Linked DNA regions of Oryctolagus cuniculus. Each later gene encodes a partner of the first gene's protein in a complex. Links are inferred from orthologs where the notes say so. Each region holds a gene or a part of one and is shown on either strand. Other genes may lie near its edges. The genes, in order: DDN, WWC1 and MAGI2.

Region 1 (10,207 bases):
CAAGCCAGAATTCATGACCAAGTCTTTGCAAGAGTTACAGATCGGCACCTATGCCAACATCGCCATGGTCCGCACCACCACGCCTGTCTATGTAGCCTTGGGCATCTTCGTCCAGCACCGAGTCTCAGCCCTGCCCGTGGTGGATGAGAAAGGTGAGTCATCGGGCAGGAGCGGGAGGACTTCAAGGAGGCCAGGGTGGCTCTGGGAAGATCTGCTTTCCCCTCGGCTCAGTCGGAGGGTGCTTTTGTGGGTGCCGGGGAGCCTTGGGTGCCACAGCCTCCCTGCTGAGCTGCCTCTGTCCCCCCAGGGCGTGTGGTGGACATCTACTCCAAGTTTGATGTTATCGTGAGTGACTGAGGGTGGCGGGCTGGGAGGCAGGGAAGGGGATGGGGGTGTTGAAAGTGGAGAGGGAGAAGGGGGTCTCTTTTAAGGATCTCAGAAGCTTCCAAGCACTCCAGTCCTATTTGAAAAGAAACTGAACAAGTCGGGTGTGGCTGGTGGGCATGGCCATTGATTGCCCTAAACCTTGCCAGTAAGGTTGGGTGGGCTCAGGGTCTGGCACCTGGTTCCCTAGCTTTTCCGCAAGCTCATCCTCTCTCACTGCAGAATCTGGCCGCAGAAAAGACCTACAATAACCTGGACGTGTCTGTGACCAAAGCCCTGCAGCACCGGTCACACTACTTCGAGGGCGTCCTCAAGTGCTACCTGCACGAGACCCTGGAGACCATCATTAACAGGCTGGTGGAGGCAGAGGTAGGATCGGGTGAGCCCCAGGCTGGGCTGAGAAACCGCCCACGAGCCTTCTGGCCAGGAGGGTGGGGCCAAGGGCCCCCGCTGAACCTGCTGTTTCTCCCGTGTTGCTCTGTGCCAGGTTCACCGGCTTGTCGTGGTGGATGAGAGCAATGTGGTCAAAGGCATTGTGTCGCTGTCAGACATCCTGCAGGCCCTGGTGCTCACGGGAGGAGAGAAGCCCTGAGCTGCAAGACGGGGCCAGGCAGTGCCCTGGGGGAGGTGGGGGGCCCCGGGAGTCAGACGGAGCCTTGGGAGATGACTGTGCGCTACTCAGGAGCCCCCTGCCCTTCTCCCCAGGAGCTGGGGAAGGCACAGAAGGAAGAAGGAAGAAGAAGGGGGTCTTTAGCTGCCTTACCCTCACACATACACGAGAACAACTTCCGGCCCGGCTCTGTGCCCCTCCAGTAGATTCCGATCTCCACGAGATCCCCAGACCTCACCGGCCTGTGCCTCCATTCCTGCCCTGACTGCCATAAGGTGGCACAACAGAGCTCTTCATGAAGATACTGTTGTTCATACAGGAGGCAGCGTCCACTTAGTCATGTAAGCGAGGAGGGCCTCGGGGTCCCCGGGCGCGTTCAAGGACATGGGTAGGCTGGAGAGGAGGGCAGGTTGGTTGGCCAAGGTTATTGCTTTTCGTGGCAAATCTAATTAAATGACATGAATCTCTTCCTGGTGTGGTGGTGTTTGATTTTGGTAGTTGGTAAACACTGCTGCTCTGACTTTCCCACTTAGTATGATTATTTCACTCATTGTTAATGACAACACTAACAGCATACACACTAACACACACACACACACACACACACACACACACCTGTGCCAGGTATCACCCACAGTGCTTTATCTGTACACATTGCATATCCCTTATCTGAAATGCTTGGAACCAGAAGTGTTTTGGAGTGTGTGTGTGTGTGTGTGTGTGTGTAGTAATTTGAAGTTTTTGCATAGAAATGAGATATCTTGGAGATGGGACCCAAGTCTAAACACAAAATTCATTTATTTGGGGATTTTGTAACTGATTCACAAACCTGAAGGTAATTTTTTACAGTATTTTTGATAGTTTTGTGCACGGAATGAAGTTTGTGCACTGCGGCTGAAGCCCCTGGGAGGGTCTTTTTTCCTCTTGGGATGCTGGGCAGAAGTGTGTGCCTGCATTTCCACTGTGGCCTGTCATATGAGGTCATCCTGTCAAGCACTCTGTAAATTTTGGGTTTTGGAACATTTTGGACTAGGCATACTCAACTTGCAGGAACTCATTTAATCCTCAGAGCAATAGTAGATACTGTTACTACTCCTGTTTGACAGATTTCTAAAAACTGAGACACGCAGAAGCTGAATACCTAAGCAAGGCTACACAGTTAGAAAAAAGCAAATCTAGGATTTAAACAGGGCCAGCGTTGTGGCATCCCATATGGACACTAGTTCGTGTCCTGGCTGCTCCACTTCCGATCCAGCTCCCTGCAAATGCACCCGAGAAAGCAGAAGGTGGCCTGAGTGCTTGGGCCCCTGCCACCCAACGTGGGAGACCCAGATGAAGCTCCTGGCTCCTGGCTTCAGACTAGCCCAGCTCTGGCTGTTGCAGCCATTTGGAGAGTAAACCAGCGGATGGAAAATCTCTGTATCTATCTGTGTCACTCCCTGTCTCTCTCTCTCTTTTTTCAAATTAATTAAAAAAAAAAAAAAATAAACCCAGTCTGGCTGCAGAGTTCATTGCCTCTCAATTGTCATTTTGCCTTGTTCCCCACCCTGTCCCCTATCATTCCCTTATTATCTTTTCCCTCCACTTGGACCATAGCTGGAACCCAAGGAAAGTCCTCTAACAGTGTTAAGTCTCCAGAGAGTTAAGCATACTGGGGTGGGGGTGGGGGGGTCTCCTTTGGGCAGAGAGGTCTGCCTCCATCATGAGCTTCTCTGAGAGAAGTTGGACAGTGTTGGGATTTCGCTACACTGGTGCTATATTGGAACCCACAAATCTCTTGCCTTGTATCCCAGGCAAGAATGAACTAGGGATGGGGAGAGGGGTGGGAGAATGAGGAGCAGCAGGACCATAGTCACCCGTGAAACCCATTCCCTGTGCTGAACCCACGTGGCCCACGACAGTGGTCAGCGCCAGACTGAAAGACGGCTGGACCACAGGCCGTGAGCCAAACACCCTGATTGCCTTTTTGCTGCTGCATTGTGGATCTGGTACAATTTCCCATCCACACCAGGAACAGTCCCAGGGCAACTCCTTGCCCCCACACCCACTGTGCCTGAGTCTGCTGATGTGACCCAGGGAAAAGCATCAAGGCCCTATCGGCTATGGAGAAGCCCTGTTTGTGTGTTGAAGTCTCCATGGCTGTCACTGCACATTCCCAAGCTTGGGGGAGGGAGGCTTCCAGGTTATTAGAGAATGTTTATGTGTGGGGGAGGGTTACAATGGAAAGGACAGATGTCTCGTGTCACATTCCCTTGGGGAAGAGAATTGGTCTAGGGAGGAGGCAAGGGCTTTAAAAGAGCCTGCAAGTGGGGCCTGGAGTGGAAGGAAGCACTTTCAAGCAAAGCAAAGGCCTCAAAGCAGGTGGCAGGTGCGTGGAATCAAGGGGGGTGGGTGGTGGTGAAGTAGTGGGACAGGATGTTTGGGGTCTCTCCAAAGGTCCATGCTGGGGAGCAGGGTGCCTGGGTTTTGTTGTGTTTCTCAGGGAGTCCACCCTGCCCCACAGCCACCCTTCCAGACTCTTAAAAGGAAGGGTCTGTACCCAAAGGACTCTGTGTGCTTCAGTGGAGAGCACACTGGGCTCTCTCGCTTCCCCTGAAAACCCAACCAGTCAGCCTCACTCAAAGTCTGAGGACAGAGCTGCGTCATGGACGAGGGATGAAATCTGGGTGCATCCCAGGCTTCTGTTCTCAACCTGTTCCTCTCGGGAGAGGCGAACTGTCCCGTCCTCCCGAGGAACCATTGCCACACACATTCTTTCCCCTCCCTGCACCCCTCCTGGAGTTGCTGCCATGGTTGCCAGGCATGGTTGCTAAGTCTGCATGGAAGGGTTGGCGTGGGCTGTGCTGCCACTAACATCACCATGGTGAATCAGGGGACACCTGGTATAGACTTAAGTGGGGGGAGGGACCACGTGGATGCTAGCAATAGCCCCCTAGGACAGAATAAGCCCCCAAGGTGAGCCTTTAGAGTGCTGCTTCTAGTGGGGCTCAGTGAACTGGGCATTGAGGTGGGGGAGGGGGGCTCTGCCTTGGGAAACCAACTGCTTTTAGTTCAGTTGCTAGGGGGTTAGCTTTGCCAAGGGAGCACAAAATTTCTCCTCCATCCCCTCTGAGAGGGTGAAAGTACATGAGCCTATTCTGCATCCCTCTCCCTTAAGGCTGGGCAGAGCTGTGTGAGCACAGAACAGTATAATCCCCAAGTCTTGGCCCCCTGGCTTGGATGGGGGGAGGGCTCCATGGGTGCCCAAGGACAAGTATCTGGAACGGGGGTGGTGGAGCAGCTCGGTTGGCCAAGACAGACTCCCTGCATCCTATTCCTCAGTAGCTCTGGGCTGGCAACACTAAAAAGGTGAGGCATTGAGGGTTGTAGAGGTCACTTTTTTTTTTTTTTTTTGAGACGGGTGGGGGTTGGAGGGAGGCAGCTCTCCCCCAGAGCCACACAAAAGCTTCCTGAAAGCCACCGCCTCCTCTCCACCGCATGGGAGCTGGTTAACTCATCTCATCTCTGCACCCGAATGCCACTGCCGCTAAAAATAGCCCCCCAGCCCTGGGCCAGCCCCTCCTGCACCCCAACCCCATGGAAACCAGCAGAAAGACAGAGGGTGGCAGGCAAGAGACCTTGAGTTCCATTCTCACCATTCCCTGTCAGAGGAATCAAAGTCGGAGGCAGAAAGTCAGGGGGGCAGAAGAACCCTGGTGGTCAGGCACCCCGGATCAGCAGGAGAGAAAAGGGTTAACAAGTCAGGAAGGTTGAGGAAATGGGGGCGGGCGGGCGGAGGAGTGAGGGGACCGACGTTGTCAGTTTGGCAGGAATCTGAAGTCCCTCCCCGCCTACCCACCCGGAGCGGTCCCATCAGGTTTGGGGGCCACGCAGTGGAAAGGGGCATCCAATCCTGGGCCCCAGGCGGCAGTCGTGCACGTGGGGGAGGTAGCAGCGCCGAGTCGTCCGCGCCGTGTCACATGCGCGCGCGCACACACAGACAGGCACACACGTGTGCCCGAGTATATATAGTTCCCAGTCTCTAGGCCCGCCGCTCTGCAGTGGGCGCCGGCTCCCCGGGCTCGGAGGGGGCTCCCGGGGCGGGTGGGAGGGTGGGGGGCCGGGGTGGGGTGGGGGCAGGATGCTGGAGGGTCCGCTCTTCTGCGAGGGGCGCGATAGTCCCCGGGAGCTCCGGCGTGCAGACTCTGGCAGCTGCCTCTGGCTGCAGAGGTCCAAGCTGTTTGTGATGGAAGTGAAGACCATTTCCTGTCATTATAGTCGCCAAGTCCCCTCTCGACAGCCCATGGACCTCCAGGCCAGCCACTGGGCCCGCGGGCCCCGCAGTCGCACGTGAGTGAAGGCGGGGTGAAGGGACGCGAGTTGGTGGGGCGGGGAGCGGGATCCGGACCACCCGAAGGCACCAGCGAGCGCTGTGCGCCTCCCTCCCTAAACTCCACTCCGAGGGCTGGGGCACCGACTCCTCTCGCCTCGTTTGCTGCGGGGGCCAGAGGCGTGAGAAAGGGCAAGGAGGTGAGATGGGGCAGCCGCTGTTAAAATGTGCATGGCGAGATGGCGAGGAGTCCCTTCTGGACGTCAGCCCCGACCTCCACGCACGTACACACGCACGCACACTCGCACAGACCCTTCCCAAGGGGTCTCCCCGAACCTCGGCTCGCTTCCCGCACAAACTGCTCACCTGGCTTCCCGCTCATTGTCCCAGGTGTAGGCCGCGCCCCGGATCCCCCGAGCCGTCGCCCCGCCGGCCCTGGGCTTCCAGGGTGCTGCAGGAAGCCACCAACTGGCGGGCGGGGCCCCCGGCCGAGGTCCGAGCGCGGGAGCAAGAGAAAAGGAAAGCGGCGTCGCAAGAGCGGGAGGCCAAGGAGACCGAGCGAAAGAGGCGCAAGGCTGGCGGGGCCCGACGGAGCCCCCCGGGCCAACCCCGCCCCGAGCCCCGGAACGCCCCTCGGGCCGTCCAGCCTGCGGGCCTCTCGGGTCCCTCAAGGCGGGAGCGCCTGGGGCCGGCGGGCAGAGCGGCCCGCCCGTCTGCTCCACCGCACAGCGAAACAGGGGCGGCGTGGGCGGGGCCCTGGGGGGGTCGGCGGCCAGGACCCCCTAGCTACGAGGCTCACCTGCTACTGAGAGGCGCCGCCGCGACGGCCCCACGACGCCGCTGGGACCGGCCGCCGCCCTACGTGGCTCCACCTTCCTATGAGGGTCCCCATAGGACCTTAGGGACGAAGCGAAGCCCGGAGCGCTCTCAGGCGTCGGCCGCGTCTGCCCCAGCTCCGACCCCGGCCAGGACAGAGGGAGGGAGCGCCAGGAAGAGGCTGGATCCTCGGATTTACCGGGACGTCCTCGGGGCCTGGGGTCTCCGGCAGGGCCGGGGTCTGCTCGGGGGATCTCCAGGCTGCGGAGCTGTCCGAGCAAGGCCGGCGTCTGGCAAAGGCGCCGCAGAGAGAGGGCCCGTCCTGCCTGCCGCCGGCCTGCACGGCGGGAGCGACCGCCGCTTCCAAGCCACCGCCGTGGCTGGGAGCCCGGGCAGCGGGACAGCTCCTGCGAGGCCTGCAGCTGCGCCCTCCAGCCCCCCGCGTCCCGCTCCCAGGTCCAGGCACCAGCTCGAGGGCTCGAGGGAAGGGAAAGAAGGAAGAAGAGAACAGGTGTGGCTCCCCCGGTGTTGGATGCTCTCCCCTAAAAAGCAGCCGTCCCGGCAGAGCCAGACCCTCCCCCGACCCTGGGCTCCCGGAGGCACCGGCTGGAGGGAGTCCCCGGGTCACGGGGACGGGCCAGGCCCCGCGGCCCGCCGAGCCCACACTCTGCCCCGCTGTTCCCGGCGCCCCGCTGGTGGAGAAGGCGTGTTTGTCATCGACGCCACGTGCGTGGTGATAAGGTCCCAGTACGTTCCGACCCCTCGAGCGCAGCAGGTGCAGCTTCTGCCCTCTGAGATGGTGCGTGTTGTGGGGGATGCTCCCAGCCCTCCCAAGCCCGGTCCGCAGCAAGGCGAGGGTGCTTCGGGCTCGCCCTTCCGTGTCCCGAGGCCTCAGCTGGTGAGCCTTTCACACCGGCCGGGCGAGGGGAGTGAGGGTGAGGGTGAGGCCGAGGGCGGGAAGCCGGGCGACTCCTCCTCCCTGGAGGAGCGCGCCTCCCGAATCTTAGGGCTCCCGGTCGGCGAAGTGAACCTGCGGGGCGCCCCCGCGCAGTCAGGCCGCCCCGAGCATCCCGCCTTGGGCCCCGCGGCTCCGGCAGGGGCGGGCTGCGCGCGGGGCTCGGGCGGGGCGGCGGGGCCGCGGCGAGCGGGCGGGGGCTGGGCGCGGGCCCCGGGGCCCTACGCGGGGGCCCTGCGGGAAGCCGTGTCCCGCATCCGCCGCCACACCGCCCCGGACTCGGACTCGGATGAAGCTGAGGAGCTCAGCGCCCACAGCGGCTCCTCTGATGGAAGCGACACGGAAGCCCCGCGCGCCTCCTGGCGGAACGAGATGACCCAGCCTGCGGCTGGGAACCCTGGACCCCAGGAAGGTGGGAAGAGAACCGAGATGAGCGACAGCTTCCGGGAGCTTCTGGGTGCCGTCAGCCAAACCGAGGAGGCCCTCTTCGGGGCGAGGGACCCCGCCGAGACCCCACAGGCAGATAGGGAGTAGCAGAGAAGGTCCCTTTGTGGACTTGAGTCTGCCGACCCATCCTCCCCTTCTTTCCCCGCGGCCGCCTTTTGCCTTTTTTTTTTTTTTTTTCCCTGTGTGCCTCCAACAATGCCGGTTGCCATCCCTGAAATAGACATGCAAGGGAAGGAGCATATGCCCGTTCCCAAGTTTGCTTCTGGAGAAGTGGGGGTGAGGTTCCATGCCTGCTGTGTGCGGGGCGGCGCACACGCACTGGGGGCGCAGTTGAGCAGAGCAGACCTCTGGGCAGCAGGAAGAAAGGGATGGAAAGGGTGGCAGAGGGGCCTGGGGCACAGAAGGGCTCTTGCAGGAAGTGAATGGATTCAACCAGCAAAGCAGAAAAGGGCTTGCGTTGGTGTCGCACGTCTTGGGTTTGTCTGTTCAATCCAACTCTGCCAACTTCCCAGGCCTCCCAGGGTAGGGGGGATGCACAATGAGAAATTTCCAAGGTCTGTCCTCCCATCGCTGACCTTTGGGGACCAAACGAAAGCCTCTATCTCCTCTTCCCATCAACAAGCCAGGAAAGAGGAAAGGATAAGTCACAGTCTGAGGGGTCCCCAGTGGCTGCTTTGTCCCGATACAAGAGATTCTACAGGGTTTGCAGGAGAGCTGAGTAAGTGGCAAAAGGGCTCCTACTCCACTCTCCCAGGTTGAGATGGGGGCTCCCCGAGGCAAGGTAGGACACTGGCCCTGTCACTCCCTGTCACTGCTCCCAGAGGCAGGGACAGCAGCCAGTGAACCAGCTTTGGGCCACCTGTTCCCTCCACCCCAATTTTCCTTGGTAGATCCGAAGTGTTACCACAATGTCCTAGGGCATCCACTCGCCCCCCACCCCCCACGGAAGGAACCCCGAGAATTTACTTGCCTCTCTGCCCTTTGCTGAAAGCAGGGGCAAAGTAGAGCAGCTCAGTTTCCAGGCAACCTGCAGATGTGGGGTGTGCTACTCGCTGCAGCCACGAGGAGGCGCGCGCGGGCCGCGAATTTTCCCGGTTGCGGATCCCGGACACCCCCAGCCCAGCACTGCCAGTTAATCGGGTCCCTAGTTACTGTCCCCTGCCTGGCCACCTCCAGACTGCGGGGCCGGGAGCAGGCCTCCGGCTCCTGTTTGTACTCATCACTCCAACCGGCTGGAGACTCAGACGCTGAGGATTTTTTTTCTCTCCAGTCCTGGAAACCCCGACACCCACCCCCACCTCTGCCATTTACTGGCCTTGTGACCTTGGCCAGGGCATTTCGTCCCCCGGAGCCTCCTTCTCCTCATCTGTCAATGGGGATTTAATAATCACCTACCTCGCAGGGTTGTTGTGAGGATTTAATACGATAATGTATGTAAAGCGCCTTGCTCGGTGCCCGGCACACAGTAGGCGCTCAATAAAGCTAAGCTTCCCTTTCCTTGGCCTCGGCTTGGTCTGTTCCCTGCTGCTTTCCCACCGCCGCTAGGAGAGGGGGGAACTCGTTCTTTGGTGGAAACTCCAGGATCGCCACGGTGTCCCCCAGCCGCGACCCTCCCCGCTCCGCCCCCTGACGGCTCTTCCCGCCGCCCCCCAATTCCTGGCAAGGGCTGAGTCAGCCGGGGTAAATTTAGCCACCGGCTCGGCAGACTCGGCGGGCCGGGTCCGACTCCGGCTCGCTGTGCAGGTCCCCGGCCCCAGCTCGCCAACCACTTCTGGTTGTAGTCTCCAATTAGCTCCACACGGCTGCCCACCCGCCCCAAAGCAGACCTTGCTGCGCCCTAGGGGGGAGAGTGGCGGGGCTCAGAGCTGCCCAGGACAGCTCGTCCTTGACCCGCTTCGAACCCACCGCTGCAGATTTCCAGGGGGCTCCCGCGGAGGGAGCAGAGGAAGTGGGAGCCGCGTATGTAGGATCAGAGGCCACCCCCAAACCCTCCGCCTCACGGCCAGTTCTGACCACCAAGCTTTACTGAGCAGCTACTAGAAACACACAGGCAATGGACCCGAGCCGCCAGGGCTAAGTGTGCGTGCAGGGTCAGACGGGGGAGTGCATGGATTCCAGGAGGAGATGGGGAAGCCCCTGGGTCTCCCAGGAGGTAGCCGCTGAGGTGGAATTTAGTGAAAGGTCATTTCAAGGACAGGAAATGGTCAAAAGCAGAGGCATCGGTACAGGGAAATGTGTCAGAAAATTAAACAGACATATTTGGTCTGTTTGGTCTATCAAGACTCCCTGGGTTGGGGGTGGTGCTGTGGCACAGCGGGTAAAGCCACTGCCTGCAGTGCCGGCATCCCATATGGGCACCGGTTTGAGTCCCGACTGCTCCACTTCTGATCCAGCTCTCTGCTATGGCCTGAGAAAGTAGTGGAAGACAAGTTCTTGGGCCCCTGCACCTACATGGGAGACCTGAAAGAAGCTCCAGGCTCTTGGCTTCAGATGGGCGCAGCTCTGACCATTGTGGCTATTTGGGGAGTGAACCAGTGAATGGAAGACCTCTCTCTCTCTCTCTCTCTCTCTGCCTCTGTAACTCTGCCTTGCAAATAAATAAATAAATCTTAAAAAAAAAAAAAAAAAGATTCCTGCATCCCATATTCCCAATATGGAGTGCCTGGGTTCCATATCTGGCTGCCAC
Region 2 (9,727 bases), on another chromosome or scaffold:
CAATGAACACACATTTCCCAAGCAGCCGCCAGGTGCCAGGCCTGACTGCCTGCTGGGGATACCGCAGGATCTGAAGCAGATGCCTCGTGACCTGACTTGTGAGCGGGGGAGACTAAGATAAATAAGTGAATAAGTAAACTAAACTGCTTCTCGTGAAATTAAGAGGCCAGCGATTATTAAGCATATTTGTTTGAAAGAAAGAAAAGCTGTTGCTCATTAAACCATAACCTGCCATCTACAATATGTGTGATTTCCGAGGTGAGAAAATACCGAAACACAAGGGTGCTTCAAGAGCGCTGTGGAAAACAGAATCAAAAAGACAAGCTCATCTTGGGGGGGGGGGGGGGGGGGATGAAACGCATGCTGTTTTTTGATAAAATGCACTTTTCATGGAATCTGTGAAACCCCTTGTGTACCATAACATCTATGAGCTGGGATGAAATATGCGACAGAGAAAAAACACAGGGACAAAGCAGAAGAGATGAGAGTGGGGCGGGGAACGGGTTTCACAGAGGGCGCAGCAAGACTTCACCGAGACGGTGACAGCAGAGCAAAGAGCAGGTGGGGATGAGCAGCAAGTCTGAAGTCTCGCCTGTGCACATCCGGGAGAAGAGCATCCCAGGCCGAGGGCACCGCACATGGGAAAGCCTGGATGGGAGCCTGCAGGGAGATGGGAGCTGGCGGAGGTGGCTTGGGGATGAAATCCAAAGGTAAGGAGAAGCCAAGTCCCACAGGGCCCCAGGGGCCATGTCGAAGAGCCGGGTGTTGACTTCGGGTAGAGACAGAAGCCGTCCTAAGGCCTTTACTTTTTACTTCGTTTTTTTTGTAAGTCACATTCCCATTTTATTATCATTTTGATTTTTAGTTTTTAACAGATTCAATGTGAACTGTAGATACAATCGTAAGAATATAATGATATTCCCTTTGTCCTTCCCTCCATTTTTATTTTTTAAAAAGATTCATTTATTTGAAAGGCAGAGTGACAGAGAGAGGGAGAGAGAGGAAAAAACAAAGATGTTTCCATCTGCTGGTTCATTCCCTAGATGGCTGCAATGGCCAGGGCTGAGCCAGGCCAAAGCCAGGAGCCTGAACTCCACTTGGGTCTCCCACGTGGGTGGCAGGGACCCAGGTACTTGGGTCATCTTCCCCTGCCTTCCCAGGCACATTATCAGGGAGAGCTGGGTCAAAAGCAGAGCAGCCGGGTCCCAAACTGGAGCTCCCATTTGGGATGCCAGCATCGCAGGCACTGGCTTTACCCTCTGCACCACAATGCCAGTCTACATCCCAGTTTCAACAGAGCCATTGGCCTGCGTGGATTTCCATCTGAATAGGATCACTGTGGCTACAGGAAGGGAGGAAGGAAGAAAAGGACAGTTGGAGAAGACAACGGCCACAATAATCGCAGCGCCGTGATGACAGCAGCGTGGCTCGGCTCGGGGACGCTTCCTCGGGGGAGCAGCGGCCGGGATCTCAGATGTCCTGCAGGTGGAGCTAACAGGATCAGGGAAGGGGGTGAGAAAGCCATCAGGGTGATGCCACGGTCTCTGGTCTGAGTACTGGAAGACTATGACTGCCGCCTGCAGACAGTGACACGCGGGAGGAAGGGTCGGATGCTCGTGTGGTCATCCTGCTTTGAGATTCGTATTAGACATGAAAAGAAAGACGCAGGACAGGCAATGGGAACGTGAGCAGAGAAATAAGAGAAGCTCAGACTCTAGCCACACACATGGGATAGTGCTGGAAGCCAGGAGAGAGGAGATGACCGAGGAATCAGAATGAGAGGGAGAGAGGAGCGAGACTGAGCCCTGGGCATACAGAGGGACCATGGGAAGGGGGAAGAATCGGCTCAGGAGACGGAAGCCAGGGATGTGGGAAGAACACTAGGAGGCCATGGAGTCAGGGAAGTCACTGAGGACAAAGGACATCAGGAAGCTGGAGCGAGCACCTGAGTCAGGTGCACCTGACAGGTCGGGAAGGGTGAGGATGAAGAAGCGGCTACTGGATTTGGTGACAAGCAGGTCACTGCTGCCTGTGATGCCCACCTGGGTACAGTCACAAGGGCAGACGCCCACCTGGGTCGGGTTATAGGAGAAGGTAAAGACCTCTTTCAAGGTTCTGCTATGCTAGCAGTGGAAATGGGGTTAAATCTTCATTTTGTTCTGTTTCAGCATGAGAGAAGGTATGGCATGCTGGGATGCGGACAGGCTAGGACCCGGGGAGAAGGGCTCTGCCCTGAAGGCAGAGGAGGGGGCAAGGCGACTGCAGGAACGATGTCCTTCGGAGTGGCAGAGGGGCTGTCTGGAGAGTGCAGCTTAGAAGCCAGAGAAACAGCAGAGAGGAGCAGGACGGCTGGGTGAGTGGGAGCTCTCCTCTCACTTCTCCATTCTCCCCCGGCAGAGAAGACCACGCATTAGCCCTTGTAACCAGGGGGAGAGAGAAGGGTTCCAGAAGACACAGGCTAACTGCCGAGCAGCACTGAGGCCCCCTGGGCAGGAAGAGATCACAATTTCCAACACTGCCTGCCACAGTGTGCGTGTTCCCACCAAACTCAGGCTGAAATTCCATCACTCCTAGGAGATGCTAAGAGAACAGAGACTTAAGCAGAGTATCGTACTTGGAGGTGGGACCCTCTGGAGGTGGTAAGATTAAATGAGGCCATAGGGATGGGACCCTAAGGCAACAGGACTGTGGCTTTATCCAAAGAGGAGGAGAGACCCAGCCGGGACCTTCTGTCTGCTGTGGGATGCACTGTGTCACCTTGGGACTCCGCAGAGTCTTTACCAGCAGAGAAGCCCTCACTCAGTGTAGTTACCTGATCTTGAACTTCCCTGCCTGCACAACTGTGAGCAGAATAAACCTTTAGTTTTTACAAATGACTCAGACTGCGATGCTCAGTTATAGTTACAGAAAGTAGACAGCACGGACGGAGACAGCACAATACATACAGCTGGGTTGTGAGCATTTGTTCCCACTCGTCAGATGGAAAGGAAGGAAAGGGCTGGGACACGGCCCAGTGAGCGTGGCCATGTGAGATGGGCCAGGGGAACCATCACAATGTAAACCAGACCTGGCAGTGGGTCCGCCCGGGCAGAGCATGAGCTGTGTGGCAAAGCTTAGCAGGTGCACAGGGGGCAACCAGGACTCCTGTGAAGCCACAGTGAGCATACTCTGTACTTGCAACAGGCAGGGAAGGCGGGCCTCATGTTCCCCCAAAACCTTGATCTGGGTCAGGGGATATGAGAGTCACTCAGAGCAACCCCAAGAGGTAGGAAAGTGCAGTGGCTACACACAAGGAAGCTACAAACCCTGGCTTCTCCATCGACTTGCTGGAGGATCTGCAGAAGTAAATCAGCCTTTGGCAGAGGGAGGTCACCCCACTACTTCCTCTCAGAGCTACCATGAGGATGCACTGAGATACTGCACACAGAGTTCCTGGCCAAGGGCAGACACCCAGACGCCGCCCAGTGAGGGGACTGCTGCTGCCTGGCTGACCACAGGGCTCCCAGCAGACGCACAAGGCAGGGAGGCTCTGGGTGGCAGAAGACAATCCCTGTCTCCTCCCGTCTCACTTCCTCTCACCACCAAAACATGACAGCCTGACACTCCACGTCCCCATGGCATACGGAAAGGGAGAGCTCCGATTGGCCCCGGACAGAGACAAGCCACAGGGAGATGAGCGCTTTGGCTGCTGCCATGGCAACCAGCAATGGCCAGACTTCAATTAGGAAGGAGGAATAAAAGGCATCCAATTAGGAGGAGAAAATAGCACGAGTCTCCTCGGATTTAGGAATGCCCAGGGCTGAGCAAATGCTCCACTGGAGGCGCCTGGGTGTGGAAAAGCTTTCTGCTGTAACCGAAATGCCCACCACGCTGGCCTGACCCTGGACATCACACTTCCACTCCCACCGACGCTCTCCAGGAAATCCTGAGCAGAGATGGACCCGCCTGGAGTCCAATAAGGCTCCTGCCACTCTCTGACTGTGTGACTACAGGGAAGGTCTTTTGCCACTGTGTGCCTCAGTTTCCCCTCTGGTACACATGACCTGTTTTGTAAGGTTGAAGTGAGCCAGCACACTAAAGCACTTAGCTCAGAGTCCACGAGTTATCATCAAAATTGTCTCAGGGTAGGCATGCAGTCTAGTGGTTAAAAGGCAAGTTAAAAGGTATTTAGGTTTGATTCCCAGCTCTGCCTCCTGACTCCAGCTTCCTGCTAATGTGCGCCCCAGGGGACAGCAGTGACAGCTCAAGTAGTTGGGTTCCTGCGACCCACATGGGAGACTGAGGTTGAGTTCCTGGCTCCTGGCTTCAGCCCATCCAGGTCCTAGCTGTTCTGGGCATTGGAGAGTGACCCACTAGATGGGAGCTGGCTTTATTTTGGCTCTCTCCATCTGTCAGCCTCTCAAACTTAAAAAACAAAACCAATAAATAAATAAACAAAATACTCTATCCTCTAGAATGGCACCAGGGCTAACAAAGACTTCACTTCTTTGATTTGTATGTCACAAGCCCCTGAGTTTAACATAAATCCCCCTTTCATCTACGAGGTGGCTGACCAACATCCACCTGTACATGTGGCTGCTGGTCCCTAAGGACAGGACACACACAGACCCCAGGCTCCTTCATATCCGATCCTGACTCCTGCTAGTGCAGTGGGTGGGAGGAAGCCACATGAGCTCTGTTCCAGGGAGTGGACCAGTAAGGGCCCCGCTGCACGAGAGCCTTCTGTGTGTCAGGCATGGCAGCAGGTGCTTTTCCTGTACTGACTCCCTGGATCCAAGTAACAACTTCCCTAGTGGGCATCACTAGGGCATTTTATGGATGAAAAAACAGAGCACCAGAGATGTTAAGTCCACTGCCCAAGGCCACCCAGCTATATAGCAAGAAGAACTGCTTGTTCTCATTATTCAGTGTTTCTTGTCTCATCCTTAATGCTGCACAGGTAAGCTGTGGTCTGTGGCTGGCATCTCCTGCATTTCTCTCAGGCCCACTACTCTTCCTCTTATGAGGAAAAGTATCTCTGTCTAGAAGCCAACGAACTTGACCGGTGATTCGACCTGGGCCTCCTTCTCGCCTTCTCTCTGCAGCCTGGGGTGGACCAATCCCCAGAAGGCTAGAAGGCTAGAAAGACAGAGGGACAGACGGAGATACGCTCTCACCAGGCACTCCTCTAGATGGCTCCTGTCCGTGGTACAGACGTCGACTCTTAAGGTCTTCTGGTGTAGGGCTGGGTAGGACATGGACACCCAGAATACCTCGTTGAACACCAGGGTGTCCGAGGCGTCCAGGGGCGGCGTCCGGAACAGGCAGGTGGTGCTTTCGGAGCAAGGAAGGATAACCACGCGAACGTTCCTACAGGGAGACAGGGTGGCAGGAGAGCTTGGGTCAGCACAGGTCTGGGGCTACTGTGTTGGGTGAAATAGCCGCTGAATCTCCAAGATTCACAGTGGCTGTGAATGTGCAAATTTCTCAAGTTGCTACACGGGTACTTGTGAGCGATGCAGGATATGCCGCTGAGGGGCATGCACGCCCTTCCTGTCCCTGAATCCCCCGCTCCATACAACCGGAGCCCGAGGCCAGCAGCAGCCAGTGCTTGCTGACACCGGGGAATCTGCCCCTCCTACCCCAAGAGGCAAATGCAACAAAACCTTCCTTGTGCAGGGGAATTCGATAAGCCCAAGAAAACTATAGCTGTGCTGGCCCTCTCTTCTAGGCACTGTCCCCCTGATACCGTGGACAAGGACCAGTGAGACAGACCAGGAGAAGGATGTTCACCCCGGCACTGCCGACACCTGCAGAGGACTGAAGACCCCCGAGCATCCAGTCTCGTCCTCCTTCTGTTTTGTCTGCTTTCCTTTCCCTGCCATTCCTCTCCCCCAGACGCTGGCTGGGTACAGACCAGAGAAGCAGGAGCTCCCGTGGCTGCCCTTATGGCCTAGGATGGTCCCGTTACAGGAGAAGCAAGTAGGCAGACGCGTGCCATCAGATGCAAACCTCGTCTACAACGGGAGAGCCAACACGCAGATGGTGCAGGTGTCTGTTGGCTGATCAGCCTGTCGGTAATCCCAGCCATACCCTGGCACGGGGAGCACAGGAACTGGCGCTGACCCTTGAGAAGCCAGGACTCACTCCTTTCTAGGTGCAACACTTGAGCTCAGAGATCTACCTGACTGTGACCATTCCTTCTTCTTCCTGAGGCTCAAGTCCAGGAGGGCAGGGTCCATGAAGGATTTGCTCAGGGCTCCAACGCCTAGAGCCAGTACTGGCAGGTGCTCAGTATGTACAGAAACTCTCTGTGGGGCCCTTATGCCTGTATCCACGTAAACAGAGCTGCAATTTTGCATCAAGGTCATGTGCATTAAATACCCATGGTTGAATCTGGAGTTTGGAGGCTGAGAGGATCATATAGACCTGTCGGGTCACATACTCACACTTTCTGGTCTAGCTGCAGCATCAAAGCAGAGAGGTTACTCAGCTGGATGATGAATATTGCAAACTGCTTATTCTTCTCATCATACCTGAAATGAAAATGGGCATAAGCAGCACCCATTAGGAAGACACTTCTCCAACCCTTTCTCTTAACAATCAGAAGAGGGGGCTGCTGGCTGCTCCAAGCAGAATAGGCTCAGAGCTTAGCTGCCATGCAGGGTTGGAGGTCCAGAGCTGTCACTCATCTCAGTATTTAAAGAGAAGCCAGACGTCGCCGTGAAATTTCTTGACATCAAAATGTCAGCAATTAATTCTTACTGAGAAAACATCCTCTAGCAAGAGAAAATTAGAGAACAACATGGGTATTGACCGTGTCTGAGCTGCAGCCCTCCACAGTCACCTTGAGTTCAGCGTGTTGCAACCTCCATGGGGACAGGGAGACAAAAACCACAGCAACAGGGAGCAAACACACTGCGAGGCGGGAGGCCTTGGCGCCTGGTCTGGTTGACACCGGCCAGCTCAATGAGTTGGGGTGAGCCCTCGGGTCTTTCAAGACCCTATTTTTGTCATCTGTAAAATGGGGAGCAGGGAGGCGGGGAAAGAGCTGAGACCCCTTTAATCAGGAGCCCATGATGGGCAGCACCCTGCAGGCTCTGCCTTCCTCCCTGGGGTTGCTGCGAAGGTCAGGGCTGGCTCAATGCTGCACACCCAGGGGCTGCACTTGAACTGCTCCCTCTATCCCAACTTCCCTGTCACTTACTTCAGGGCAATCTGAACCCGCGCGGCGCCCACTGCCTCCGATTCGTCACTGTCAAATGCAGCGGCTTCCGAAGTGCCCAGTCTGAAAGGCAACAGGCAGAAGGGGCATCAGGATTCCGAGCAGTGACCTGGGAACACAGTGCTTGTCTGGAAGCGGGATTCCCTCCATTGACAAAGTCGGGGTCTGCTCAGCCTGTCTGCAGGCCCCGGCTTCACACCATTTGCTCTAGACACCTCACTTGAAGATTTCCTTTCTCTAGGGCTGGCCTCCTAAGAATGCACCTTTTAATGCCTACTATGGAGCTAGTATGCTCTCAGAGAAAAGCATCTCCAGCCCCCATCCCCCCTGCCAGAAGCCACATTGCCTGCATCTTTGGCTTCGCCCTCAGCAGGGCTGCAACACCCTCCTGCACACCCACAGGGGCTGAAGCCCAAATGGTCCCACAGGCCCTGGGATCTGCACATTCGGGGAGTTCCTGATTGCCACTGACTCAAGAGAGGCAGCACTCAGGGACCTACCTCTGCGCAGAAGCTTCGTACACACCACTGTCGCCAGCCACGGACTCGTCGGACACTGCAGCTGAGACACAGGCCACTTTCAGGCCGCAACCCTGGGTTGTACTCACAGCTGGAGGGGGCGGGGGAGGAAGAACAGAAGGGGGAGGGGGGTTCAGAAACCAGAATAGTGTCTTACAGCACCCATGTTTGATCCTCCTGGTTGTAAGATGGTCCCACAAAATTCCAGCCCCCTCTGAAAGCTACGGCACAGCCTGCTTTGCTTTGGGGGCCATGGAAGGGGTCTCACAGGATTTTGTGTTTAGCATCGCAGATGCCTGGATCTGCTTGGATTCAAATCCTGGCCCCACCACTTGCTACTTTTCTTCCTTTAGGACAGTCATTTAATACCATAAGCCTCACCTTCCTTATTTATACAAGGGAGATATTAACATCTACTTTACAGGGCTATTGGGGTGGACTTCTGAGACATTACACAAGTCCCTTACAACAGACACAGGTGCAGGGGATTGATTCACTGCCATTCTCCTTACAGAACTATCATTTCCATCAATGCGGTGATGGCTTTGGGAACCACTTTTTTTTCTTTTTTTTTTTTTTTTTTACAGGCAGAGTGGACAGTGAGAGAGAGAGACAGAAAGAAAGGTCTTCCTTTGCCGTTGGTTCACCCTCCAATGGCCACCGCGGCCGGCCACGCTGAGCCGAAGGCAGGAGCCAGGTGCTTCTCCTGGTCTCCCATGCGCGTGCAGGGCCCAAGCACTTGGGCCATCCTCCACTGCACTCCCGGGCCATAGCAGAGAGCTGGCCTGGAAGAGGGGCAACTGGGACAGAATCCAGCGCCCCGACCGGGACTAGAACCCGGTATGCCAGCGCCGCTAGGCGGAGGGTTAGCCTGTTGAGCCGTGGCGCCGGCCGGAACCACTTCTGAAACCCCCCTGCAACCCCAGTAAATGGAGCAGCCCCAAGTCCTCTGGAGAGACAAGGGAATTTCATACACCTGCTCTCCCACTGGGCCCACCCCAGCCCACTTCCCTTTTTAAAACTGTTTATTTTCATCTACTTGAAAGGCAGTTTCACACACACACACACACACACACACACACCGCCATTTGCTAGTCCACTCCCCAAATGCTCACAACGCCAGGGCTGGGCCAGGCTGAAGCCAGGAGCCAGGAATTCCATCTGGGTCTTCCACGTGGGTGGCAGTCATCAACCACTGCTTCCTAGGTTGTTTTAGCAGGAAGCTGGATCAGAACAGTAGCTGGGATTCAAATCAGCTCTTGAATATAGGACGTGAGGGGCCAGCGCTGTGTGGCGTAGCAGATAAAGCTGCCGGCATCCTATGTGGGTATCAGCTCCACTTCCAATCCAGCTCTCTACTATGGCCTGGGAAAGCAGTGGAAGATGGTCCAAGTCCTTGGGCTCCTGCACCCAAGTGCGAGACCCGAAGGAAGCTCCTGGCTTTGGCCATTGTGGCCAATTGGGAAGTGAACAGCAGATAGAAGACCTCTCTCTCTCTCTCTCTCTGCCTCTCCTTCTGTCTCTGTGTAACTCTGACTTTTAAATAAATAAAATAAATCTTTAAAAAAATATTTATGGGATGTGAGCATCCCCAGTGGCAGCTTAATCTGCTGTGCCACATCCACCCCTCTTCCGCTCCTAATTCAGCTCCGCTTCTTCTCCCCCCGCCCCTTCCTGAAAGTCTCTGACTTGGGGCTCAGCACATGTGCACATTTCTCCCTTGCTGGTGTAATGAGCACCTAGGGTAGGCAGGGCTCACTGCCGAGTTCCAAGCCACAAAGGCGCATGGGACAGTTGCTGCCATCCCCACAGCGGGGAGGGCCAGACTCAGGTCTTGCAACCTCATCACTAACACTCCAGAGCACTTGCTGCTTGCCAGGCAGCTTGCTGCATGGAGGCGTATGGAGACTGGGGGCATGGCAGGCTGGGGAAAGGGGCGCTGACGAGGTGAGCCTGGGAGACCCAGGTGCTGGCGAGGGCAAAGCCACACAACAAGCAAGAGCAT
Region 3 (9,727 bases), on another chromosome or scaffold:
AATCTTGATGTGAATGGAAGGGGGAGGGAGAGGGAAAGGGGAGGGTTGCGGGTGGGAGGGAAGTTATGGGGGGGAAGCCATTGTAATCCATAAGCTGTACTTTGGAAATTTATATTCATTAAATAAAAGTTTAAAAAAAGAAAAGAAAAGAAAAAAAAGATAATTGAAAATGAATCTTGATGTGAATGGAATGGGAGAGGGAGCGGGAGATGGGAGGGTTGTGGGTGGGAGGGAAGCTATGGGGTGGGAGAAGCCATTGTAATCCAAAAGCTGTACTTTGGAAATTTATATTTATTAAATAAAAGTTAAAAAAAGAGAAAAACTCTTGTAACCTTGAGTTAGAAAAGATTTCTTAAATATAACACCAAAAGAATGATCTGTATAAGAAAACTGATAAGTCGGACTCAATCAAAATCATATACATTGTGCTTTGAAAGGCATCATTCAGAAAATGAAAAGACAAGTTACAGACCAGGAGAATATATAAATGATTCATACTCTGAATCTATAAAGAATTCTTAATAAGAAGAAAAGCAGGGGGCTGGCGCTGTAGTGTAGTAGGCTAAGCCTCCACCTGTGGTGCCAGCATTCCATATTTTTGCCGGTTTGTGTACCAGCTTCTCCTTTTCCACTCCAGCTCTCTACTATGGCCTGGGAAAGCAGTGGAAGATGGCCCAAGTGTTTGGGCCCCTGCATCCACGTGAGAGACTGGGAAGAAGCTCCTGGCTCCTAGCTTCACGTATTTTCAGCTTCAGTCATTAAAGCCATTTAAGGAGTGAACCAGTGGATGGAAGACCTTTGTCTCTGTCCCTCTCCTCTCTGTCTGTAACTCTACTTCTCAAATAAATAAAATAAAATCTTAAAAAAAAGAAAAGCAGCCCAATATACAAATAAGCAAAATATCTGAATGAAGACATGTTACCAAAGAAAAAATCTGAATGACAGTAAACAATAAAATAGGGAAACACATGAAAATATTAAGGAAATGTAAATTAAAACCATAAACAGGTGTCATGGCACACTCACTAGCATGACTTTAATAAAAAAGACTGATTATATTAAGTGTGAGAAACAATGGGGAGAAATTGGAAACCTTATGCTTTGCTGCTAGGGATTCTAAGTACAATTCAAAACATGGTAATGGTATAGTCATTTCGGGAAACATTCTGACAATTTCTTAACAGTTTAAATAAATAATCTACCCAAGAAAAATGAAATCATAGGCACACATAGACACTTGTATCCAGATAGTCACACCAATGTGACTCCTAAATGCTCCAAACTGGCAATAATTCAAATGTCCATCCAATGGTGACCAAAAAAAGTCCATACAACAGAATAAAAGAAAACAAGCTACCCCATCCTAGCACCTGCTGGCTAACTCTCAATAGCAATATGCTAGGTAAAATACTACACCTTGTATAGTTCCATTCATTGAAAAAATTCTAGGAAAGCAAAACTATTAAGAAGGCAGATTAGTGGGTAGCTGGGGCTAGATCTAGGAGAGATCAGATTGTTCTAAGGAATCTGGTGAGCGAAACAGAATTGGATCACTGTAACAAAACTTAATGAGTTATCTACTTACAACTGATTAATTTCATGGCATGTAACTTATGCCACATGATATTTTTTGAAAAAATTAAATTCACCTTAATAGCTAAGATATTTTAAAGAAAGGTATGTGTATGTATAATATCATCTTATCTACATTAAATCTACTACTTTTCATAGGTATATTCATAAATTCATTAATAAATATATTCATAAATTAATTAATATAATCATATTGTACGTGTTTGCAGACTAGAAACTTCCTGGAATATAAACACAAAACATGCTTGCCTCTGGAAAGACTGAAACTAGGAGATAGGACAGAGGATTATTTTTCATTGTAGACTCTGACATCATTTGCTTTAAAGAAGAAATGATGAACATTATTACTTTGTAAATAAAAAATCCTCATAAATAATTTAAAACAACCGTGGTCCTGATCTAAGCACTCAAGTCTGTGATTCTGCTCTTGAAGATCTAGGCTTATCTGAATGAAGTCATAAGCACTTCTGAGTTGTCTAAAGTAAGATAATCAAAGTGAATCTCATCACAAAAACATAGCACTAGTTCCTATTAATTTCAGACAGAAGAGTGCAAATTGTAGGAATTTGGGAAACTCAAGAAGCTTTTGACAAGAAGTTCCTTAAGCATCACAGGGTGCTACATTCTGCATTCTACACTAGTCAAAAAGTAAAAGCAAGTCCCTCATTCCAAAACACAAATAAAATGCAAACAAAACTTTGCTTACTTGATGTTTAAATGAGAGCAAAAGAGAGAGAGGACCAGAGAGCAAGTGAATGAGAACAGGGTAGTCTAGCTGAGAGCAGGTGTGCATTCAACATTTTCAGAAATGCACAAATTGTAATAATACAAATGAAGGATCTCACAGTACATTACCCTGCTAGGCTATGCTTTTAAAAAGAAGCCATTATATATAAAAATGTGTCCAAATTTGTTTCTACAAATCATACAGTGGATATTACTGCAGTGATTTTCAGTTGTACCTTTTAAAAGCAAGAATCTGTCCCCAAGATTTGATTTTCAATTGGTATTATGAACATATGACTATTTAATTAGGAATATTTGTTTTTAATCTTAAACAAATGATGGCAGAAATTAAGGAAATCTGCCAACATTTAATTATTGCAGTTCAAGTGCTCTTTTGTAACAATGACTCGAGAAGGTCAAATTTAAGATTGCTTTGCCATCATATTAATTTCCCTTTTTAATATAGGAACATAATACTTTGTATATGCTGCTTACAAATGCCTGCTTTTTTGGGTCCCTTTTCAAGCAAGGAATCAATAATGTAATAGTTCCTTAAGAGGGAAACACACCTAAAAAGAAACAAATATACCAGGAATGGCGCTTCTTTCAGCTTTGACTGTTTTCACTTCCATTTCACACCGAGAGGACTCTCATGCTGCTTTGAGGGCTCTGAATAGGCAATCACATGGGTTTGCCTCGTGTTCCTCATGCACGAGTTCCTCCCAGCACTGCTCCTTTTGACCTGTCCTGGCCGTGGCTTCTGTGTTCACTTCAGCTCCACAGAAATTCAGTGAAACCCTGATCTGGGCCACTCAATACCACAAACACCACCACAGTTAGGTAGTGTTAATATCCCAGAGCCACAGATAAGAAGGCTGAGGCTCCAGGACCTGTCCTGTCTCCAAATGACCGAGTGGGAAAACCAGGACTTAGCTCGCACCTTTTCCTTTACACTCTGTTTTGGAGCATCCTTTTCGTCATGGTTCCTTCCCTCCTCCCTCTCCCTAGTTTCACTGAGATTCAAGCGCAGAGCAGTGGGGAAGAGGACTCTCTGCTGTGCACCATTCTCTTCCCATAGAGATGGCACAGAGAAAGAAAGACCCAAGGCTCAGGGCTTCTCCCCCTGTCTCATGGTCTCCATTGCCATACTTCAATCCAGAACACTAGGCCCGGCTCTGACCCCATTAAGTGACTTTCTTCCCAGGTCATGGGAGACACCTTAGGTAACTACTGCTGAAGCAGCAGAAAATTCATTCTGGAGAATTCTACTCAGAACTCCGAGATGGCATTTATACAGCTGCACAGCTCCCAGTGCGCCATGGGCATTATAAGGACTGTACTAAGGTTGCAGAGGTTGAACCAGTTTCCACCTGCTAGCCTGGAATTCTAAGTACAACTCAAAACACAGCAGGTTTCTTAGTGAAATCAATAGTGAACCAAGGGCTAGCACTGTGGAGCAGCAGGTTAAAGCCCCAGCCTGCAGTGCCAGTACCCCATATGGGTGCCGGTTGCAGTCTGGCTGCTCTGCTTCAGATCCAGCTCTCTACTATGGCCTGGGAAATCAGTAGAAGATGGCCCAAGTTCTTGGGCCCCTGCACCGGCATGGGAGACCCAGAAGAAGCTCCTGGCTTCGAATCAGCTCAGCTCTGGCCATTGCTATTGGTCATTTGGGGAGCAAACCAATGGAATGGAAGACTTCTCTCTCTCTGGCTTTACCTCTCTCTGTAACTCTGTCTTTCAAAAAAATAAAATAAATCTTTGTTTTAAAAAATAGGAGTGAATCAGTTTGAGTTCTTCAGAACTGATACATTAATTAATTAATTTTTTTATGACAGAGAGAGAGGAAGAATTCCCATCTATTGATTCATTACTCAAAGAGGAATTGGGCCGGCTGAAGCCAGGAGTTGGAAACACATTCCAGGTCTTCCACATGGGTGACAGGAATCCAGCTACTTGAGCCATCACCTGCTGCCTCCCAGGATCTGCACTGGCCGGTAGCTGGTCAATAACCAGAACCAGGAATTGAACTCAGGTATTTGGATATGGGACACAGGTATCTTAACTTCTAGGCTAAATGCCCACCCCAAAGCACACTTTTGAAACAGAACACATTCTTAGTTGGGGAATTCAGCTGTTACTCTCCAAGTCATACCATCATGTTTCTATGACTGAAAGCACTGTCATTATTATATGTAATGTAAAACAGGAAGAGACATATTCTCAAAATTCAGAACAGCTTCCTGTACTCACGTTTTTCTTTCTTATTACTTTACCTTTATTTTCAAAAGTCTGATTTAATTCCACTCCCAAAAGACCTCCATTTTAACAGAATTATGGTAAAGGATCCTACTATTTTGTCTATATATTTAATTGCTGGGCCAATGTTTCTTACCTCCTCGATGGATGATCAAGGAAGTCTCGCTTCCAACGGGGCAGTCCTTCAGTATATCCACTACTTCTGTATGGCTCAGGTTCTGTACATTCTGCTGGTTGATCTCGACAATGAGGTCGCCTTCACACAGTCCAGGGCATCCCTGAATGTCCAGTATTTGTTTCACCCGCTGTCCTGTAGGACTGTCAGCAATAGTGAAGCCAAAGCCCTGGGCACCTTTCACAATGGTTAAGGTCATAAGTTCAGCTTGGGTGGCCCCAGACGAAGCCATAGACACATTGTCATCATGGACGGGTGGTGGATACGTGCCATCTAGCTGACCGTCAGCTGGCATGGAGTGCAAAGATTGAGGCGGCCGATCTGTTATATCTGGAACTGACTGTGAGGTCCGAGAAATGTATTCCAAATATGTTTCATAGTTATGTCTTCCATTGACCATCACTGGAGGTGGCCTCTCCATTATTGCAAGGGGTGGCACCAAGCTGTTAGCAGGATCCTCAGGGTCAAAGGGCAAAGGGTAGCCACGACACAACACCAGGTTGACACTCTGACCAATAGGAACAGACTGGAAAAGTTTGACAACATCCGCATGAGTGTGCCCAAGGACACAAACTTCGTTAATATAGACAATGACATCACCTGCAAGGGAAAGAGAAAGAGATTGACAACATGAGGTAAGTTCAATTAACGTTGACATAGAGAAATGGAATTATTTATGAGACTAGTGAAAGAGGTGCTCTATTTCTCAGTAAGCAGTGAGAAAATCAATTAGAATAATACTTAGATTCACTGTAGGTGATTCAAGGAGACACCAGGTCTGCCAACAAATATAATGATCAAACACTGAAAAAAAAAAGCGATTATCTGGTTATTCTTGAAGTTCAGAAACGACTTCATATTGAGAAGCACACTACCCATGCTGCTTCTTCATCTTTACTTCCATCTCCAATGCAAGTCAGTAGAAATTTAAAATTGTTGAGACGTAGTTATGGGTTTTGGATGAAAACGCAAGACCTGGTACATGGGGTTTCTGGTATGACACTTCATTATTTATGAAGTTGTTAATGAGGAGGACATGAAATAATGCAGGAAAAGTGCTTCGGCAAAGTGCCTGACCCATGGTGACTGCTCAATGAATGGAGGCTATTATTAACATTGTTGGGAAAACAGGATGGAGGAGATTTGAGACCCTGGATTTCAAATAGGAAGCTGCCATCAGGTCATCCTCTGAGCGTAGGGAAGCTTCTGTTTCTCTGATTATTTTCAGTGAGGGCATTCGTCCTCTCCCAACGGATTGTTTGCAAGGTTCTGCTGGCTAGAAGGTGGCTTTATGCTATTAGAAATGCTTTGAGTGCAAATTATTCATCATACAAGATATTCAGAATAACAAATTTTCCTCCTTAAAATGCAAAAAGATGTGGTTGTCTGAGATAATTGTTTTTAAAAATTTCAATTATGTCTGAATAACTTTTATTTTTGGAGAACTGTTCTATCATGGATTGGTATTTTTATCCTCACAAACCACAGTGCTTGAAAATTGAATTTGCAAATTGTGATTGTGCTTGTCCTTGCTGAGGCACCTACGAGGAATGTAAAGACATGCTTTCACAGGTTGTCAAAGGAGTGGCTCAAGAGACACCAACTGACCAGGATAATTCTGCAATGGATAGTGCAAATGGCTGGGAATTTCATTCTTGGACTTGCCCATCAAGATTGCAAACACCAAAAATGAAAAAGCAGAGATGAACTCTGAGAGTTAAACATATTGCTGGCTTTTTGTTGTTGTTGTAGTTGTAGGTATAGGCTATGAAATAATTTCTCCACTTAAGGCACTTAAAAACAGCTCTCTGCTGTGGCCCGGGAGGGCAGTGGAGGATGGCTCAAGTGCTTGGGCCCTGTACCCGCATGGGAGACCAGGAGGAAGCACCTGGCTCCTGGCTTCGGATCGGCACAGTGCAGCGACCGCAGCACACCGGCCATAGCAACCACTTGGGGGGTAAATCAACGGAAGGAAGACCTTTCTCTCTGTCTCTCTCTCTCTCACTGTCTAACTCTGCCTGTAAAAAAAATAAATATATGCATAAAACGGTCCTAAGTAAGGTGTCCTTAATGGCACTGGCTTAACAATCCCTCTTTCCAAATGCAAGAGACCTGTTTGAAAGTGGTAAAGGAATGGCCAGAAAAGACAATCAAGCCTTTCCTGGGATCCAGGTTATGTCTGCCTCCAGAAAATGTGACAGCCCATGTGACTGGTCAGATGAAACTTCACCCCTCCATTATGTTTATCAGACAGGGTGCTGGTGCGATGGCTGGGCCATTGGGCCAGGACTCAAAACTGAGTTGGAATGGGCAAACCCTCTCTGAGATTAGGATTCTCCATCAACCTGGGGCAGCTGGGGATGCTTTGGACTCTTTTTTTTTTTTTTTTTTTTGACAGGTAGAGTGCACAGTGAGAGAGAGAGGCAGAGAGAAAGGTCTTCCTTTGCCGTTGGTTCACTCTCCAATGGCCGCCGCGGCCGGCGTGCTGCAGCCAGCGCACCGTGTTGATCCGATGGCAGGAGCCAGGTACTTATCCTGGTCTCCCATGGGGTGCAGGGCCCAAGGACTTGAGCCATCCTTCACTGCACTCCCTGGCCACAGCAGAGAGCTGGCCTGGAAGAGGGGCAACCGGGACAGAATCCGGCGCCCCAACCGGGACTAGAACCCGGTGTGCCGGCGCCGCAAGGCGGAGGATTAGCCTAGTGAGCCGCAGCACCGGCCTGGACTCATTTTTAATCAATTCTGTTATTCCTAGAGTCCCAGAGAAGTGTCGTATTCATGTAGACTCTTTTTGTTCTAATTCTTCTACTTTATCACGACATATTTCAGACACTTCAAAGGTTGTAAGATTAGTCAATCCCTATATACCACCATCTGAACTAATGCTTACACCACTGCTCCTAGTTTTTGAAACTGCCTTGGTTAACACAACTCCCCCTACTTGTATTCCCACTTTGTCATTTACAAGGTCACCATTGTCCTGCATTTGACGTTTCTATTTACCAGTACTTTATCTTTTAGGTTCCCATGAAATTGCATCTCTAAATAGTATTTAATATCAGAATATTAATAATCCTTGAAAAATGTTTTGCATTTTTAAACATTTTATAAATGTCCTCCATTTTAGTATTCTGTAATTTCCCTCAAAATATATTTGTGGTAATGCTCTATTTTGATGTTTGTACCATAAGTTCATTGATTTTCATGAAGTATGTGATTTATTGGATGGTTACATTCATATATAATAACATTTATTCATTCTTCTGTTAATGAATATGAGGACTCTTACAAATTTTTGGTTATTAAAGACAACTCCTTCCATGGCTCTTGTGCACAAAGGGGAGAATTTTTCTGAAGTATGTATCTTGGCACAGAATTGCTGGGCACAGGCCATGTACCTCTTTTTTAGATAATGACACATGACCTACAAACTGTCATGGCATTTCCATTTTCACTGGTGGTGTTCCAGAACTTTCGCTGTTCCCAATTTGACACAATGCTTGGTATTCTCAGACCTAAATTTTGCACATCTATTGGGTGTGATTATGACTTTAATTTGCTTTTCTCAGAATGCTAAGGAGAGTGAGCATCTTTCCATATGCTTATTGGCCATTTGGGTTTCCGCTAGGCTACATCTCATTTCTCCACTTTTCCTATCCAAAGAGTCTTTTTTTTCCCTCGCATACTGACTAAGTTTCATGCCCACGTTCATTCTTGATCCAATGTTCCCTGAAGGTTTGAAAGGCTGCACGGTAAGGTAGAGATCATAGGAAGTAAAAAAACTGTGGTCTGAGTTAAAGCTCTATCACAGACTAGCTGTGTGATTATTCAGAACCACCTTAAATCCTCTGGGATTCACATTTATTAGAAGTCATGGGGAAGGGGGCAGCGCTGTGGCATAGGGGGTGAAGCCTCCGCCTGCAGTGCCAGCATCCCAGATGGGCACCAGTTCAAGGCCTGGCTGCTCCACTTCTGATCCAGCTCTCTGCTGTGGCCTGGGAAAGGAGTAGAAGATGGCCCAAGTCCTTGGGCCCCTGTACCCACATGGGAGACCCGGAAGAAGCTCCTGGTTCCTGGCTTTGGATTGGTGCAGCTCTGGCCATTGAGGCCAATTGGGGAGTGAACCAATGGATGGAAGACCTCTCTCTCTCTCTCTCTGCATCTCCTCTCTCTAACATTGACTTTCAAATAAATAAATAAATAAATCTTTTGAAAAAAGAAGTAATGAGGGACAATAATATATTTTTTTTGACAGGCAGAGTTAGACAGTGGGAGAGAGAGAGACAGAGAGAAAGGTCTTCCTTTCCATTGATTCACCCCCCAAATGGTTGCTATGGCCGGCGCTGCGCCGATCTGAAGCCTGAGTCAGGTGCTTCCTCCTGGTCTCCCATGCAGGTGCAGGGCCCAAGCACTTTGGCCATCCTCCACTGCCTTCCCAGCCCACAGCAGAGAGCTGGACTGGAAGAGAAGCAACCGGGACAGAATCTGGCACCCCAACCGGGACTAGAACCCGTGGTGCTGGCGCCGCAGGCGGAGGATTAGCTATGTGAGCCGCAGCGCCGGCTGAAGGACAATAATATTAGTAACCTTTGTCCTTTGGGAAATAACAACTGAGATCATATGGTTAGCAGCGTTTGTAAGCTGCAAATTGTGATGTGCAGGATGATTGTTATTCCAGCAGTTATTATTTGTCCTTGCTTCCATCCTTCCATAAAATTGACACAGTCCCATCAAGATACCCATTCCCACCGCAGCTATAATCAAAAATGGCTTGAGTATGACTATAGAATGAAGGGTTTTTAAGTGGGCAAGTAGAAGGCAGGACGGTCACAAATTTCCTGAGGTTCTCCCTAACTTTAATCACTGTTATCAACTCCACTCCCCACCCCCATCTCCAAGCATACTTTATTCTTCCTTCTGCCCTGCCAGAATCTAATCGAGAAAAAAAAAAAAAAAGAAAGAAAAAGAAAAAGAAAA

The links.
Region 2: the proteins of DDN (region 1) and WWC1 are in contact, whole or in part, in a crystal structure (PDB 6J69), measured with the Mus musculus proteins. The link is inferred for Oryctolagus cuniculus from reciprocal best matches to the Homo sapiens genes DDN and WWC1. Residues at the interface, in NP_001013763.1 of Mus musculus: Tyr227, Val228, Ala229, Pro230, Pro231, Ser232, Tyr233, His237, Arg238, Thr239; in NP_740749.1 of Mus musculus: Glu13, Glu14, Ala15, Arg16, Asp17, Tyr23, Ile25, Asp26, His27, Arg30, Thr31, Thr32, Ser33, Trp34.
Region 3: the proteins of DDN (region 1) and MAGI2 are in contact, whole or in part, in a crystal structure (PDB 6KKG), measured with the Mus musculus proteins. The link is inferred for Oryctolagus cuniculus from reciprocal best matches to the Homo sapiens genes DDN and MAGI2. Residues at the interface, in NP_001013763.1 of Mus musculus: Asp222, Arg223, Pro224, Pro225, Pro226, Tyr227, Val228, Ala229, Pro230, Pro231, Ser232, Tyr233, His237, Arg238, Thr239, Leu240, Gly241; in NP_001164217.1 of Mus musculus: Glu308, Met309, Ala310, Tyr311, Thr312, Glu313, Gly315, Tyr318, Ile320, Asp321, His322, Lys325, Thr326, Thr327, Ser328, Trp329, Asp358, Tyr361, Tyr364, Val366, Asp367, His368, Arg371, Arg372, Thr373, Gln374, Phe375.

Annotation. Positions count from the first base shown.
Region 1 is NC_091442.1:52,459,386-52,469,592, reverse strand, and holds DDN (dendrin), read left to right. Parts: upstream 1-5,083; 5' UTR 5,084-5,114; coding exon 5,115-5,323; intron 5,324-5,693; coding exon 5,694-7,608; 3' UTR 7,609-9,018; downstream 9,019-10,207. Other genes in the region: PRKAG1 (5'-AMP-activated protein kinase subunit gamma-1), read left to right, coding at 1-152, 308-345, 607-753, 872-976. UniProt on the Homo sapiens protein: Promotes apoptosis of kidney glomerular podocytes. Podocytes are highly specialized cells essential to the ultrafiltration of blood, resulting in the extraction of urine and the retention of protein.
Region 2 is NC_091437.1:55,259,820-55,269,546, reverse strand, and holds part of WWC1 (protein KIBRA), read right to left. Parts: intron 7,814-9,727; coding exon 7,705-7,813; intron 7,268-7,704; coding exon 7,187-7,267; intron 6,516-7,186; coding exon 6,429-6,515; intron 5,350-6,428; coding exon 5,157-5,349; intron 1-5,156. UniProt on the Homo sapiens protein: Regulator of the Hippo signaling pathway, also known as the Salvador-Warts-Hippo (SWH) pathway.
Region 3 is NC_091434.1:142,748,777-142,758,503, forward strand, and holds part of MAGI2 (membrane-associated guanylate kinase, WW and PDZ domain-containing protein 2), read right to left. Parts: intron 5,351-9,727; coding exon 4,712-5,350; intron 1-4,711. UniProt on the Homo sapiens protein: Seems to act as a scaffold molecule at synaptic junctions by assembling neurotransmitter receptors and cell adhesion proteins. Plays a role in nerve growth factor (NGF)-induced recruitment of RAPGEF2 to late endosomes and neurite outgrowth.